Caenorhabditis elegans: one gene and its partners. The protein of the gene in region 1 interacts with the protein of each later gene in a pairwise test. Each region holds a gene or a part of one and is shown in the gene's direction. Other genes may lie near its edges.

Evidence for each region. Proteins that work in one complex are often made in the same cells at the same time.
Region 2: the proteins of flh-1 (region 1) and nhr-67 interact in a two-hybrid assay, tested with the Caenorhabditis elegans proteins (one large-scale study listed by BioGRID).
Region 3: the proteins of flh-1 (region 1) and ceh-31 interact in a two-hybrid assay, tested with the Caenorhabditis elegans proteins (one large-scale study listed by BioGRID).

What each region holds. Positions count from the first base shown.
Region 1 is NC_003282.8:9,261,275-9,265,860, reverse strand, and holds flh-1 (FLYWCH transcription factor 1), read left to right. Parts: upstream 1-1,597; 5' UTR 1,598-1,629; coding exon 1,630-1,646; intron 1,647-2,158; coding exon 2,159-2,384; intron 2,385-2,432; coding exon 2,433-3,203; intron 3,204-3,249; coding exon 3,250-3,759; 3' UTR 3,760-4,053; downstream 4,054-4,586. Other genes in the region: Y11D7A.19 (NADH dehydrogenase [ubiquinone] 1 alpha subcomplex subunit 13), read left to right, coding at 1-51; col-120 (Nematode cuticle collagen N-terminal domain-containing protein), read left to right, coding at 4,108-4,184, 4,235-4,319, 4,366-4,465, 4,513-4,586. UniProt on the Caenorhabditis elegans protein: Probable transcription factor. Binds to the DNA sequence motif 5'-[AG]GGCGCCG-3' in the promoters of target genes, including micro-RNA genes, in order to repress expression, and acting redundantly with flh-2.
Region 2 is NC_003282.8:11,167,752-11,175,335, forward strand, and holds nhr-67 (Nuclear hormone receptor family member nhr-67), read left to right. Parts: upstream 1-1,996; 5' UTR 1,997-2,082; coding exon 2,083-2,119; intron 2,120-3,409; coding exon 3,410-3,510; intron 3,511-4,125; coding exon 4,126-4,223; intron 4,224-4,320; coding exon 4,321-4,450; intron 4,451-4,658; exon of another isoform or gene 4,659-4,788; intron 4,789-5,397; coding exon 5,398-5,667; intron 5,668-5,717; coding exon 5,718-5,887; intron 5,888-6,298; coding exon 6,299-6,574; intron 6,575-6,622; coding exon 6,623-6,791; 3' UTR 6,792-7,040; downstream 7,041-7,584. UniProt on the Caenorhabditis elegans protein: Orphan nuclear receptor that binds DNA containing an extended core motif half-site sequence 5'-AAGTCA-3'.
Region 3 is NC_003284.9:3,068,104-3,072,013, reverse strand, and holds ceh-31 (Homeobox protein ceh-31), read left to right. Parts: upstream 1-1,591; 5' UTR 1,592-1,706; coding exon 1,707-1,872; intron 1,873-2,129; coding exon 2,130-2,400; intron 2,401-2,457; exon of another isoform or gene 2,458-2,740; intron 2,741-2,794; coding exon 2,795-3,140; 3' UTR 3,141-3,366; downstream 3,367-3,910.

The sequences.
Region 1 (4,586 bases):
CTCACATCGGTTGATGAAGCTCTCTTCCACACAATATTAATGTTCCCATGACTTCTGAGGTCTTTTAAAATGCATTTCTTCTCTTCTTCAGATCGAAATTTTGTATACATCTCAGCACCCCATAAACAAAAGTTAATTTTCAAAAAATGTTTGATAGATTTGATTCTGTTGAATATTTTCGGCTGCATACTTTAAGCAACAAGTGGATTTTACACCAAATTGTTAACTGTGAGCCGAAAAGGCTGCATCCCTTTTTTGATAAAGAACCAAAGCCAAACCACGTACGGGCTAGAAGAGGAAGAGATTATGATCGTTTCTGAATTTTCAAATAATATTGTAATGTTATTTTCTTCATATGTGCTAGTAAAATGCTTTTTATGGGATGATGCAAGTGAATTTTTCTACATTTCTCGACAATTTATTTGCAATGCAAGTAAGCAGCATAATGACGCAAAATTCGCCATTTTTTTTACATTTCTCTACATTTCTCGACATTTGAAAAAAACACTCATTTTTCGTCAAAACCACGTCTTTAGTTCACGACTTTACCTTCCCAGACGTTCACGTTTGTTAAAAGTAGTGTAAAATGGGAAAAATAAAAATAATTTGAGAATTTTAAAAGATAGATGCGTGGCCATTCAACGTGGTGTTGCAAAACAGCCAAATTTGAAAAATCAAACTTGATCATTTTTAAATTTTAGAATTCAAAACCACGTTGAATGACCACGCATCTATCTTTTAAAATTCTCAAATTATTTTTATTTTTCCCATTTTACACTACTTTTCACAAACGTGAACGTCTGGGAAGGTAAAGTCATGAACTAAAGACGTGGTTTTGACGAAAAATGAGTGTTTTTTCCCACGTCGAGAAATGTAGAGAAATGTAAATAAATGTAAAAAAATTGCGAATTTCGCGTCATTTCGCTGCTTACTTGCATTGCAAATAAATTGTTGAGAAATGTAGAAAAATTCACTTGCATCATCCCATTAGAGATGAATTCCTATTTGAAACTGCTGCAACTATGTAAAAAATATATATGGTGACTTATTGATATTTCATTTTCCATTTTCACAACCTCGTGGACCACCAAAGCAACATGCAATATTCTATTTTGTTTTTTAGGCCTGTTCAAATAAGTTTCCAGTGATACGCAATTTATCGTAGCCGTTATTGCACAAAAAACGTCAATGAGTGACAGTAGTCCACGCGCATAACTGTTCATCATTTTTCGTTTCATTTGTTTTTTCTCTGGACAGATCTGTGTTTCTCGCAATTTCTTTTCATATTAAATCGTTAAAATAGTAATTTTCAATTTCCAATTATAAGAAAACCGAAAGTTATTCTTATAATCTCTCAAATGCTTAAAAAACCAACCTAAATAAACAGAAGTTCCTTTTGGATTATTTTAAATTATTTTTGCCAAATCTAAAAATAAAACCAAAAATAAATCAAAATATTCTCAACTATGAGACATTTGTTTAAAAATCGTTTTTTTTTTCGCTTTTGTATTTTACAGGCAGTATTTGTTTTTTTACACACGTTGCCATCTTAATCTATTTTATTCGAAATTTTTATAAAATCTAAATTTATTTTCAGGACGGCGTCTTCCAATTATCTAATATCGGAGGATGTATTCGCCAGAATCGTAAGGCTCCTGCTCAATCATAAAAAAACGCTTGCCTCTATTGTTAATCCTACATGTCTCCCTTTTCTCACGTCTAGCGTTCTTCTCTCCCCTCCCAACATCGCCCTATCTACTGTAATCCAACGTCACCATCTGTCCCCGCTGCCTCCATGCCGTCGTCTTTTTTTGCTCCCGTTTGCTGCGATTGCCCTCCCACGAAGGACCTCTTTGGTGTAAACAGTGGAACGGACCCAAGAGTGCGCGTACGCGGTCCGCGAGCGGCTGACCGCGCACGTCATTAGAAGAGACAACAAATGAATCAGAGAGACGCAGAAGAAGGGACCATAATGTCCCGCCCTTTCCCCGTTGGGTTGAGAGACTTAGACCCCCGAACGCTGCTAATGTTACAAATATGTCATTCCAATAGGATTTTGGTCTACCGTCTGGCTGCATAGTTTTTTACTTCCTATTTTAACCTCATCACTCAATTGGTCTTATCTTCCATGTAACTTAGAATAATTTATTAATTTCAGAATGAACTCCAACATATCTTCTCCATCCCCTCCGTCGTCGTCTTCTCTTAATGCTCCAAGTCTTGCGGATGCTCCTGAAGTTAGATCCGATGATGGAGAAGCCGAAACTTCCGAACCATCGACTTCTGTCACAGCTGTACCAATGGAGATTGTGTCCCAAGCATCTACATCTGCTCCTGTTAACCAGTTGCTCGCGAGCGGAATTGATATGTCTAGCGTTATTAAAGTAAGTTTCCTCTATCCAAGATGTTATTTCATTTGATTGTTATTTCAGAACAACGCTGTTTTACAGGCACTTCTTGCCAGTGCCAGTGCCGGTGGATTCGGAGACAACGCAGGCCTCACCATGTCAAAATTATTGACCGCCGCTCTCGCCAATGGATCCACTGCGGTTGCTAAAAGAGATGCAGGTTCTCCACGTACTGATATCCCAAAGAAAACTCGTCTGAAAGTGTTTTCAAACGGATTTTTCATGACATTTGACAAGCTTTCATCATGTCAAAAGAAATATTTCTGGAGATGTGAATACAAGAACACTTGTAAAGCACGAATGCATACGGATATTGTTACTGAAAAGATCCTCACGTTTATCCATGAGCACAATCACAGTGCACCAATAGATGAAGAAGTTAGACTTTATGGATTGGACCCAACGAATATCGAAAGAAATCGTGTCTACATAGTTGGAAATGTTGCTGATCCAAATCAACGAAGAAAGATCCGAAAGCAAGTTGCGGATAGAGAAGCAGCTGCAAAGAGGCTCGTTCAACAGCAAGAAGAAGAACAACAGAAGCAACAAAGTGCATCATCAATTGTGGCGGCTCGAGCAGCTTATGCGCAAGCAATGCAGAATGGCTCAATACCCACATCTTCTGGGGTCGCGTCTTTTCTCCAGTCAACTTCGGCCACTGCTCCAATGACGTCTCATTCAATGCTCCTTGCGCAGATGCCATTTTTAAATAATATTAAAACGGAGATGTCAAATATGGTGAAAAACGAACAATTCACTCCTGAAAGATACACACAGCATATGTCTCCAAACTTGGTATGTCAACTTAGTGTTGAAAGTTTATTCTATAATAATTTTTAAGCCATTGCAGACCGCCACAATTGCTCCACTAATAATTCCAACAGAGAACTACGACTCACCTTCATATAGACAACCAGCAATCAAAAGAAAAGCTACTGATTTGACGAATGAAGAACATGATTTGAGAAGAGATCCGATGTTCCAGCCAACTTTCGAGCTTGCCAGAAAATTGAGAAAACTGTGGAAAGGAGAACCGAACAGATATCCAAGAACTACTACGACTCCGACTCATCATTTTGAATTCTTCCTTTCTAAAAATGATGGAACAGATGAGCATCTCTATGTTCCAATGAGAATCAATCTCCGTGATGAAGCACACTTAAAAGAGGCACTTCAAGACTTCTGTGGTCAACAATGTATCGGAATGCTTCTTTTCGGAATTTCACCAAAGATCAGTGTAATGTTCAATCAACCCATGTTGAATAATTGGGACAATAATCAATTCTTCCTGCTCGACATTTCAAATCCAAGCCGTTGGCGACTGATGTATGTGGATGATCAAGCTGTGTAATTTAACCGAATACTGATTGTTTTTTATATGTGTAAAATGTAAAATTTCCTCCACTCTCCACCTATCTCATTAAATATTTTCTGTGACATTTCTCCATCGAAACTGGTTTTTACCCAATGTAAACCTCATCCTAAGTCTACGATTCAATCTAAATCACATCTACCTCCCTTTTCCAGATGTTTTTTGAACCATTCCACTAATAATGTGTAATGTTATCTTTGACTTGCTATCAATTATCCTTATTTTTTAACGTGTTCTATCCGTTGTAGGATTGTAATAAAACAGTAAAGTGATAAGCGTGAATGATATAAAACACAGTTGAAAATGATTAGGTGATTGGAAGAAGAAATGAATTTGAAGAAGAATTTAGTGAATTCTGAAGAGGATGAACTTCGAAAAGTTGCTTTCGTGGCGACTGTTGTCAGGTATGTTCCGATTTCCACGTGGCAGAATAGTACAAGCTGGAAATTTTCAGTGCTGCTTCTGGAATCATGTGCATTATTCTAATTCCTGGGCTTTACACATATCTACAATATATTCAAAGCTCTGTTCAAACTGATGCAAGTGATTTCTATTCACATTTTGGTATTTATTCTGCATTTTTAGGTTGGATTTTGTGTTGACGGGGCTAAGAATCTGGAAAATATGTATGAATCAACGAAGGCTGTTGGTTCAGGGCCAGTAAAAAGACAAGCTGGATATGGAGGTAACTTGTAACTTTTGTGGGACTTTTTGAAACTAATTCAATATTAGCTTCTTCCCCCTCTCGAGCTTCTGGAAGTCATCCAGCTCCATCTCCATACGACGCTGCATCCACTTCTTCTTCA
Region 2 (7,584 bases), 1.9 Mb from region 1:
TGAATACTAGGGATTCCACAAAATTCGCCTCCCAACGAGAGAAGTTAATGCCTACGTGATGAAAAATTGTTCACAAGTCTGATTGAAGCACTATAGAAAAAATATAAATTGTTTTGTCAGTTGATAACTTTTTACCAACTCAAAAGACAACTGAAACATAAGCTGTCCAAGTACATAGAGCGATGGGATGCAATACTATACGGAAACATGATTGTGATAAATAATTTACAATCCAATGTAACATTGGAAGATCTATTCATTTTACTTCCCCCCCCCCCCCCCCCCACCATTTCGCTAAGTTTTCCAAAAGTTCACACCTGTATGACCCTCGTCTGTCTATCTCTCTTCAACGACCTTTTCCTGCATCGTTCTCGATATTGCGTAAAATCCCAACACATTGTCTTACTCTTGGGTAAAATCGAGAAAAAAAAGTATTTTTGATTGCGTAAGCATCAAAATGAAATGCAGGTGTTCACCACTAAAATGAAATGGAGGTCATGTTCGTACCCTGTGGTACAAGCCACAGAGAGTTCAATTTATATGATGAGCATTTGAAGAATTTTATTAGGTTCTAAAATACCATGAGCCTGGCAGCTGGAAAAATATTTTACTGTTTTTTTTTTTGCTTAGAAACCTAATACTATAGACTACACTGAATTGGTTGTGACAACCTACTGAAGAACAAGAGGGGTAGAACATTAAATAACGAATCTAAGAATTTACAATCGGTGTTACAATGTTAAAGTTTTCAGCAACTAACTTCAAAGAAAATTAAAATTTTAATGAATCAAGGGATATTGGTTTTTTGGTTCGATTTTGTTCTGGCTCTCCGAGAGAGAACTATATGCCTGATACTGATATATAAAAAATAAAGTTGAAAATGAAGTTTGTAAAAAATACAGCTTGAAATTCGTCAGTTTTACGTTTGTGGTTCAAGCAAGTCTGGAACCTAGAGTTTCCCTAAAATAATATTTATATTTAATTTTTCACACGACCTGAAGTTTTCTCTCAAAACAGTCTACTACATATTTCACATAGAACCCCAGACTCCATCTAACTTTTTGCGGCAAAACTACCATTCCTCTGCTCAAAACTTTTGCTCCAATTCTTTTCATCATAAAGTCTTTACTGATGACAATGAATGGTCAAGTATTCTCAGGGATGTCGTCGGGTCTTTTGAGCTCTTTTGAGTCTTCCAAAACTCCTTCAACTTGTGCCTCCAAAAAGATTTGAGGAGGCATTCTGAAGAATGGGAGCAACAACGGCAAGAAGTGTGTGGTGATTGTGCGCGGGATGAAAAGAGAACAAAGTTTTTGGGATGAGGTGGATGCTCCGTGAGCAATAAAAGGATCCGACAGGAAGGGAGTTTTCAAGAGTAATATTGACTATATAGGGCAAATATAATAACATGACCAAGGATACAGAACTGTTTTCCGAAAAAACCAGAATCCCAGAAAAGAACCACTTCTTAATTGAGAAAGTTTCAAAATTTGTTCAAGTCAAACTGCAGATAAAATGTATTGAAATTAAATAAAAATTGAAAACTCCGAGTTAAAGTTAAATTAAAAGATGAGTAGAGTGTGGTCAATCATAGTGGTTGCTTGAAAACTTCACACACTAGTAAAGTTTACAGTGGTCTAGGTTTTCAGATTTATAGTTTTCCAAAATAAGTTAAACATTTCAACTACAAGAGCACCTCAGTTAGATTTTCTGTACTCTGAACAATGTTACTTGAGCTATTAACATAAAACTACCACTCAATTGAATAATTTGGCATTCACCTGGATACTATGAAAACAAAAAATTGAATATTTGAAAAACAGTACACTAGAAAAACTCTCAAAATCAATCAGGGCGTGGCTTATTGCATCGTCTACAGTATCCCTCAGAGTCGTTTCTCTTCGCTTTCTCTCCGTCGGCTGTCAGTGGTGGTCGCTAGCTCCGCCCATGATTTGACGACGTGACTCGCCTTCGCCTTTCCGACTGCCTCTCACTCTCGCCTTAAGAAGAGAGAATTTGTCTTTTGGGAATCTGTGTGCTCAATATTCCGGAATTCTTGAATTAATGAATCTGGCGCCAAGAATGATGACTGCGGTTTCACAGATGTCGGTTCCAAGCAGTAAGTCAATTTTAAAAAGTTAATCGTCAACATCTAGAATCAGAAGATGAAAACTTCTACTTCGAACTTTCTTGGAAAAATGAGCTTTCTTAAACTTCCAGGCTTTAGCTGTAGAAAGCTTTTTTCCAATTCCCAACTTCAAAAGAAACTCAGATTTTAAAATTGGGATCTTGAGCAATTAATAAACGTAGGATGAGTTGCCCGGTGGGCATACTTCACATTCTTAGCCACATAAAATTGTTATTTTCTCATTTTAATTTCAATTTCAGAGTAGATTATTATTAATTTGAAATATTTAGGGAAGAATTTCCTAAAAATGGGTTTGGAAGTGCATAATATCGAAAAAAAAAGTGGGAGCTTTTTTGGCAAGATACATACGTATAGGATTTTGATACCTTCACAAAATTTTGAAAACCCTATGAAATACTCCTGTTTTTTTTTAAATATTTTTTTACTACCCATTGTCTTCAAATTTAACAAAATCTGAACCTTGACTTCTTCCATGGGATAAATCCATTAATATACAAACTACAGTAAATCCATGTATCTTTATATATGAGTTCTAGAAGCCTTAGTGCAGATGGGTTACTGTAGTTGTACCTAAACTAGTTTGTGTGAATGAAGAAAGAAAATGAAGAAATGTCTAATGTGAATATCATAATTTGAATGCATATCAATTTCAGTGTGAGAAAAAATTTCTAACTGAAAAATTAAGACATTATTTCAGAACCCTGATTTCAGAACTAAAAAGTCACATAAAACTTTCATAAAAATTCCTTTTTTTTTCCTAATCTCCCCGGCACGAGAACTCCAATAAGTAAAATAGGAAGTCATTAAACATAGTGACTCAATATTATGGTAGAAATGATTAGGTGTGAATTATGAGTTAGGTGATGGAATTAGTACAAGAATGGAAGAGTTTCTGTGGGAGATGCAGGTGTTTCGGGTCAATTGTGACACGTGGCACCTGTGGATTTAGCACCATTTAGCTAGAACTAGAATTGATTTGAAAGGTCATGATGTTAAATAAAATTAATTTTTTAAAGTCATACGAACAACATCAAAACTAATACTCAATATCCAAGAAGTAGAAACTCAATTTGAAATATTGTTCACTTCTTGCCTTTTTCTTTCAACAAATCCATTTCCATTCTGCCTTCATTCTCTTTTCATATTCTATTAATTAGGCAGGCAAGAGACACAGGAAGTGCTGAATAATTGGAGTCTCTCCTTCTTGGCTTTCTTGATTTCCTCATTCTATTTCACACCTAAAAATGATTATTTCTTCAGGTCGAATTCTATTGGATGTTGATTGTAGAGTCTGTGAAGATCATTCGTCGGGGAAGCATTACAGTATTTTTTCCTGCGACGGGTGTGCTGGATTCTTTAAAGTAAGTTTTAATGTTTATTGAGCTCTCATTTTTTAGATAGCTTAAAATATTCGAATTTGAGAGTAAATTTTAGTGGAAAATTTTTAAAAAAGTATTATCTAGACGCGAAAGTTTCCCATTTTTGCTCTAAAAATACGGTAACCGGTCTCGATGTGAATTTTTTTTATTAAACGGGAAAAGGTATGTGCCTTTAAACTGTACTGTAATTATGTACTCTCGTTTCTGCCGAATTTTTCTCCTGATTTATTAAAAATGTATGTGTTACATCTGAATTTTATTAAAAAACATATATTTTTATCGAAAAACCATCCAAAATTCGACAGAAACAAATTTATTGAACTACAGTACGTTTTAAAAGCGCACACCTTGGTTAGACAAGGTACTAATTTTTGCTGAAACTAATTGTTATATTATTGAATTTCCGGATAGATAAAAATGTGTTAATCTTCAACAAAAAATGTCTACAATCATTTTGCAACATTAACTTTGTTCTGCTCCGATTATAATGTATGTCTAGGATTTGAGACCTCATGAAATATTTTTTCAATGTGAATTGACTTTCAAATTTCCTTAGCATAATTATCATTGAAATTGAACAACAATTCCAAATTTCAGCGTTCAATCCGTCGTCATCGTCAATACGTGTGCAAAAACAAAGGCAGTCCATCCGAAGGACAATGCAAAGTGGACAAAACACACCGCAACCAGTGCAGGTGAGTTCTTAACGGTCACAGATTAGTGTTACGATCCCCTTTTATGCTCTTTACGTTCGAGTCCATACATTGATTGATGACACTTGGAGAATTTCAGAGCTTGCCGACTAAGAAAGTGTCTGGAAATTGGGATGAACAAAGATGCTGTCCAACATGAGAGAGGGCCTCGTAACTCAAGTTTAAGACGACAACAGATGATGTTCGATCATGGATCCTCTCCTAATTCGGTATGTGTTTGTGGGAATCTTAAATTCGGATATGTTACAAGGACAAAATATTTAATAATTTTAATTAAATTTATCGATTCTAATTTAGTTTTGAATTCATAATGACTTTCAAAATAGTTCCATTTAAATCTCATGATTACCGATCTTTCTCTTTCTCACTCACAAAAATCAGTGACTAAAGTGAAGTGAAAAAAGGATTTTGAGTAGAATTAGTACAGTAATCCGCAGGTGGATTTTGGTCGAGTTGACACCGACGCGGCGGCGACGAAAAGTAAAAAAGGTGAAAAGTTGTCGGTTGCTGTACAAATCTACAGTACCACCTGACAGGTGATTTGTCACTCTTGAACATAGTCAAACATTTTACTGGCGAAGGGAACACCTAGGATATAGAGCATGGTCAGAAATATGATTGCAATGAATTGCAATTTTCTACAACACGGTAACTTGGTTGTTGCCGGAAGTGCTGAGTATTCGTTAAGTTGGCAATTTTTTGAATTGGCAATTATCGAAGAATTAAACAAAACATTTTAATTTTTTTGTGGTACGTTTTTCTCAAAACGTCAAATTTCAAAAAAATATCCTCTAATTATCAGTTAAACACCAAATACGTGCCAAAACCGTGACAGATTCTTTAAAAAAGAGCACCTTGAAAAATCAGCCAGTTTCAAAAACTTGTGAATATATGTGTATTCTGGGGCAGATGTTTTAATGTTTCTATTTGTATTCGGATACAAATTACTCAATAATATTGTGCTCTTATGGATCTTAAGTGGGGACAACATAGTGTCAAATGATTATGTTGCATAAGTACTTGTTAGGGACAGCTGATTGGAAGAATTAGCAAATATCGTATACAAGAGGAAATTATGTCTAAAATTTCTATAATTAACTTTCAGTGAAAAAGTTAATATTATTAAGTAGATGATTTTAATTTTCCTTCATTTCAGCCGGAAATGGGATCAGAAAGTGATGCAATAATTCTTCCGACATCATCAATGAATCGTGACACAGTGGCCGGTACTGCTGCTCGAATCTTTTTTGCACTTGTTGGATTTTGTCAGAATCCTTTGAATGGAGTACCTAAAGAACGGCAAATGACAATGTTTCAACAAAATTGGGCAGCACTTCTTGTTCTCCATGCAACTGAAACACGTGCCATAACTTCTAAGCAAATAAGGACTGAGACGATATCCGGTAGCTCAGAGCAAAGAAATGCGGTATGCAGTAATATGAATCTGAATATTTTGAAAAATTAATGAATGTTCAGGTTGCTAACGCGTTTGAAATAATTGAACGTTTACAATTGGATAATAGAGAATACATGATGTTGAAACATTTCACAATGTGGAGAGATACACCAAGTGCAATTCAAATTGTCTTTCAGTTAGCATCTATTCAGAATTTCACACATAGAACCGAACCGACGAGATATATCCAGTAAGTTCCTTTTTTTATTTTTTTTTTCAATTTTCTTATTTTTGGAATAATGTGAGACTTCACTATAAAGGTAAACGCTGTTTTTCTGAGTGGGTTGCAACGATCAAAGTTAATTAAATATTGTATTTGCTAGTTTGAAGGTTGCTAATTCTTTTTTAAAATTAATTAATTAACCAATTGAAAAAGTTCATTTATAGTTTTTGTACGATTATCCTATTCAAAAGTTCATTTTTCGGCTCAAAATATAAAAAATTCCACAATTAAAAAAGCAGTGTTTTTTGTTCTCACAAAAAATGCAAATTATTTCCTATTTGCTTAAAAAGCGAAATTGATTATTGAAAACTAATGAAAACTAAACGCTCTAGTACCATCTTTCCTTCTGAAAACTTCACAGTCTGAAACCTATTTCAGATGTATAAATGCAATTGCCGCTATTCCAACAACTTCAATAATTGATGTTCTATTCCGCCCTTCAATTGGATCAGCTTCAATGCCAAGACTTATTCAAGACATGTTCAAGCCACCACAACAACCCACTCCTACGTCACTGTTTCCAATGGCAAACTTCAATTTGAACTTTCTATTAAAACAAGAAAAAACCGAAACTGAAGAGGGTGAAGATATTGAAGAAGAGGATGATGCGACGAGTAGCAATCAATTTGATGAAAATTCTTCTACTGATGATAGGTATGATGAGCATTTATTAGTACAGTGGATTAACTGAGTCTGTTGCAGATCTGTCGGAGAACTGGATCCCGTTCAACTTTTCTTGGCTCTTAATTCCTCAACTCAGCCTTCATCGGCATCATCCCCTTCCTCTTCAAGACCACGTCATTCGATTCGATCAATAACTGAATTATTATCAATTCAAGAAGAAGAGAGTGTTAATGTTGAAGAGGTTTAGATAGTAAATTCATGTTTCATATACAGTAACTCAATTATTCTAAGTATCTCTTTTCATTGTCTTTTTCACTCCGTTTCTTGCCTCGCCCGGATTTTCATTGGATTTTGATTTATACTTTCAAAATTTCATTTTTCAATTGTAAATTTTTAATTTAAATTTAGAGAAAAAAAATGGTAAGCTTTAAAACTAATTTATTATTTTCTGATTTATATTGTGAACAGATGAATAAAACGTTTACAACAATGGCAATTGGCATACAAACATCATTAAAAAAAGGTGAATCATACAGTTTTGAGAAGACTACATATGATTCGAAACATAAAAAACAATAGAAATCAATAAATGATGGGAGAGAAACCGAGAGATTTATTGGAAAATGGAACGGTTGAATGTCATATTGTGTCATCGTCGTTTTCCTTGTTAATGGCCTCGTTTCTTATCATATCCATATCATTCTGATATTCCCATTCAACTAGATGACCAAATCATTAGCTGACTGATTTCCCCCTTTTTAATGATTTGTTTATGGTTTTGTCAATAGTTTGAACGCGTTACGTTTTTGTAGATAAACCTGATTATGCTAGAATATTTTTTATTGAGATTTATTGACTAATTTAAAGTTTTAAACTAACAGAACAACAACCAATATTATAAAGAAAATGCTTTAAACTCATTTTTGAACATCCAGAACATCCGAAAAATAACCAACATGGTTAAGATTTTTCAAAGTTTTTAGTCAAAGTTTCGGTATCTATTTGCAATTTTCAAAAAACATGGAATATTTTCAGTAATT
Region 3 (3,910 bases), on another chromosome or scaffold:
TGCTCATCGACCGTTTGTGACCGGAAATATTGCTTATTAGTTAGTGGGAAAGAGGGAAAACGATGGGACAGCATAAAATTAGATTTGTACGTTTAAGTTAACGTTTTACGGAGGTGGCCGCCAAACATAAACAGCCGGAAAACTAGAGAGGTAATACGGCAGGAAATTAAGTATTAGTAAGTTGTTAGACGTTGATAACAAACAATAGATTCGCGTTGTTCATGAATCGGTTGTGAAAAATATAACGATTGTTGACATTGTTCACTTTGCAAATATATTTTTCAGAATGATAACGATGTTTCAACATGATATTTTATTGAAAACTTTTTGAACAAATTTTCAAGCAAACATAAAGGGTCTGAAAATTTTTTACAACTATAAATATTAGTTTATAATTTTTAAAATATTTCAATATGTAAAACAAAGTTTTTTTGCTCATAATAGTCTATAAAAGAGGAACCCAGACTATTGCAAACTCGGCTACCGAAAAATACAAATTTAAACTCTAATTAAGTATAAATGCTCAAGAAATTAAAAGCTCGGAAAACGTTTACATTTTTTTAGTTCCTATAAAGCTCAAAATAAATAAAAAATTTACTTACTTAGCATTTTATTATAATTTTTAGTGTTTTGAGAATCTGATTTTTGCGGATCTGGGATTAAAAAAATTAGGTACCAGTTTAGTACACCTGGTCCAAAAATATTAAACCCCTTTTTGCCGATAATAGGCTTAAGGTTAAAGTATTTCAAAGTCTAAAAATGCAAATCTATTTCATGGTTTGAATAAATTATTATGTTTCAAAAGAAATGCATGGAAAATGTACTGGAAAATGTTTTTGTGTTAGGTATACTACACAAGTACCAAAAGATGTTACCAGTTAATCTGAACTGTACGTGTGAAGCAAGTTTAAGATCACAGCCAGGAAAATCTAAATGCAAAATGAACTATCAAAAGTAGTCACTGTTACTGAACTTTTCAGATAGTGTTTTCCATTGTGCTGATTTCAAATCAGTGATGTATCAAATATTAAAACACACACAATGTACCTATTAGACCTCATCATCTTTTAGTCAGAAAGCTGAAACATCATTCGGGCTGAAACTCATTTTTAGCTTTAGTCGCTAGTTTTTGCACGCCGAAGCAGCATGCTATTTTTGATTTTTTCTGCGGTTTTACACTAGCATAGCTAGTTATATTGAATTCTATTCAGTGCTTTTTTATCTGAAAATCATTGCTCGTTTGGATCATGTTGCATTGCGTTGTTACTCTGCTTTTAGGAAAAGCCTAGTGTGCATAGTTTGCATTCGGCAGTTTCGGGATTTGTCTGAATTGTTTTCTTCTCACCTGAATGCCTCATTTCCGAAACTTTTGCTTTTCGTCTTTTCCTCGAAGCTGCTCGTTTTCAGCTTCATCGTCCCCCATTATCACACTTGATTGGCTTCAAAAAGGTGGATTGCACGGACCACACTTCTCAATACAAAACCGCGTGGTGTCATCCATTCTATTCCCTTCTTCGACACGCCCCGCCTTCCACTTCGCATGGGCGTGACTAGACCAATCAACGAGTTTGCGACGTTTAGTGACTGCAGGCAACAGGACCCTTCCAACCCACTCATTCACACTAAACTACTGTCTAAAAGTCATTCAATTTGACTATTACAAAACTTATTGTATTGTTACATCATCTGATAAGGTTATCATAACAATGTCAATGTTGGATCTCCGTCAGTTTCTGATTCCTGCATTCTTTCTAGACCCCACCAACCAACTTGCTGCTCAGAGTTCTTCCGGTGGCGCGAAGATAAACTTAAACAGCTCTTTTCGCATTTCTGATCTGCTTGATCCAACTTCACACTCAACCAACGAACCAGGTAATCCATTTTGCCACCATTTTCCTAAAGTTATTGCATTTATTGTATGTTCGTTCAACCATCTCTAACACTTTAATCTACATAGACTTCCATGAGAATGTTGAATGTACAACTAACCTGAAAAATGATATTTAACGGATTAACGCTCCAGTAGTCACATGGACGGTAATCTGTAATAGTAATAGGTCAACCAATTATGATCCTTTGTTCTCCTCTTACCTATACAAACAGTTTTCTTTATTTATTTGTTATTGTAGATCCATCTCCTACCTCCATTAATTCCTCGGAATCGCCATCATCCCCTAGAATTGGGAGCCCGAATACCGAAAGATCTGTGAACGAGAGTCCGACATGCGTGGGATCAAAAAAGGCTCGGAAGGCGAGAACTATCTTCACCGACAAACAACTTCAAGAGCTAGAAAACACCTTTGAGAAGCAGAAGTACTTGTCTGTTCAAGATAGGATGGAGCTGGCTCATCGAATGGGGCTAACAGATACTCAAGTAAAGACATGGTATCAAAATAGAAGGTTGGTCGGCTATATTCCTTAATTAGGCAAACTTTTTTTCTTTTCTCGAAAAACAACAACGTGTGGCTCTTTGCGCCAGCAGTTGGGCGAGAATTGAGTCTAAACACGCCACTTTGTGTTAATTGTAGTGCATTAGCGAGAAGCTTCACCCCCATCGAAATTTATCTTAATCAAAGCTCTCACCCCTCCTCAATTTCTTTGCGTGCGCCCACCAATTTTATTTAGTAGTGTCATCTTTTTTCCGCGCCCTCCCCCACTCCTTTCAACCACCCCACGGGAAACGGCTCCACTGTCATTATCCAATTTTTGAGATTGGAGCTGCTACCCTGGGAGGCGCAAAAAATTTGAGAAAAAAAGTGCTTGAAATGAAAAAAAATGTTCACGGTACTTTCAGAACCAAATGGAAACGACAAGCCTCTGTTGGTATGGATCTTCTTCACGATGCTGGAAATATGGCCGCCGTTCAACAACTTCTAAGAACAAATCCATATTGGGCAAACTACTTATCACAGAACACTTCAATGTTTGGAGCTTCTAATAATCGCCCTGTATTCAATTCATTAGTCGTCCCAACTTCTTCAATGATTCCTGCTAGCAACTCTCAAAATTCTCTACTGCAATTTCTAGCATCGCAAAACGTAAAAGATGATATCAGTTCCCCAAAAGAATCACCATCAGTATCTCCTGATTCTGTAAAAAATGCATCTGTTTCTAAAAAAGAATCAGATGAGGATGAATAATACCTTTCCACCTTGAAGATTGTTTTTTTTTCGCTTAGAGTATTTATCCGGTTTTCATCACGCAAAATGTCAAATTCTCAATTTCTATTGTTTTTCTCTTCTATTTTTCCTGCTGAGCCACTTTAATTTTGCCCTCATTCTCAAAATCCGATCTCTTAATTTCTTCTGTAATGTTTCACTTTCAATGTCTTGGTTATTATAAAATAATAAAATGCAATACAGTCAACGGACGCTGGAGTGTTTTCGCTCAAGTAACAGAACATTGCGAATCATTCCAAATGACAAAATTACGGTAGCGATTTCCTCACACCAAGTGCGTCAATTAGCCTTCTCATTAATAGACAATTTTGGGGGGAAGCAAAAAGTCGTCCCGCTTCCTCTCCACCTCAAACACTCTACGTTACTCGTCAAAGTGGAGGCCTTCCAACTTTCATAGCTGAGTAGATTTTCCGTAACACCTTTACAGTTGAAGATCGTCTGCCTAGGAGTCGAATAATTCGTCAATTATAGCGACACCTTTTTCGAACAATGATGCCACCCAATTTGAGAAAGGAGGTTAGAGACGCGTCCTGTACAGTTTGTCAAAACCTCAACCTTCTTTTCATTCGTCTTGTTCAATTGTTTAGCAAGATGACAATTGTCGAAGGAGACCGCAGCCGTGTATTATTGCAATTGAGTCGACTTGTTAACGAATTATTGTTCAATCATGTCATCGTTTCAGGGGTCGTTGCGAGAATGATTTATTGAACTGGTCTTCGTATTGGAATGTC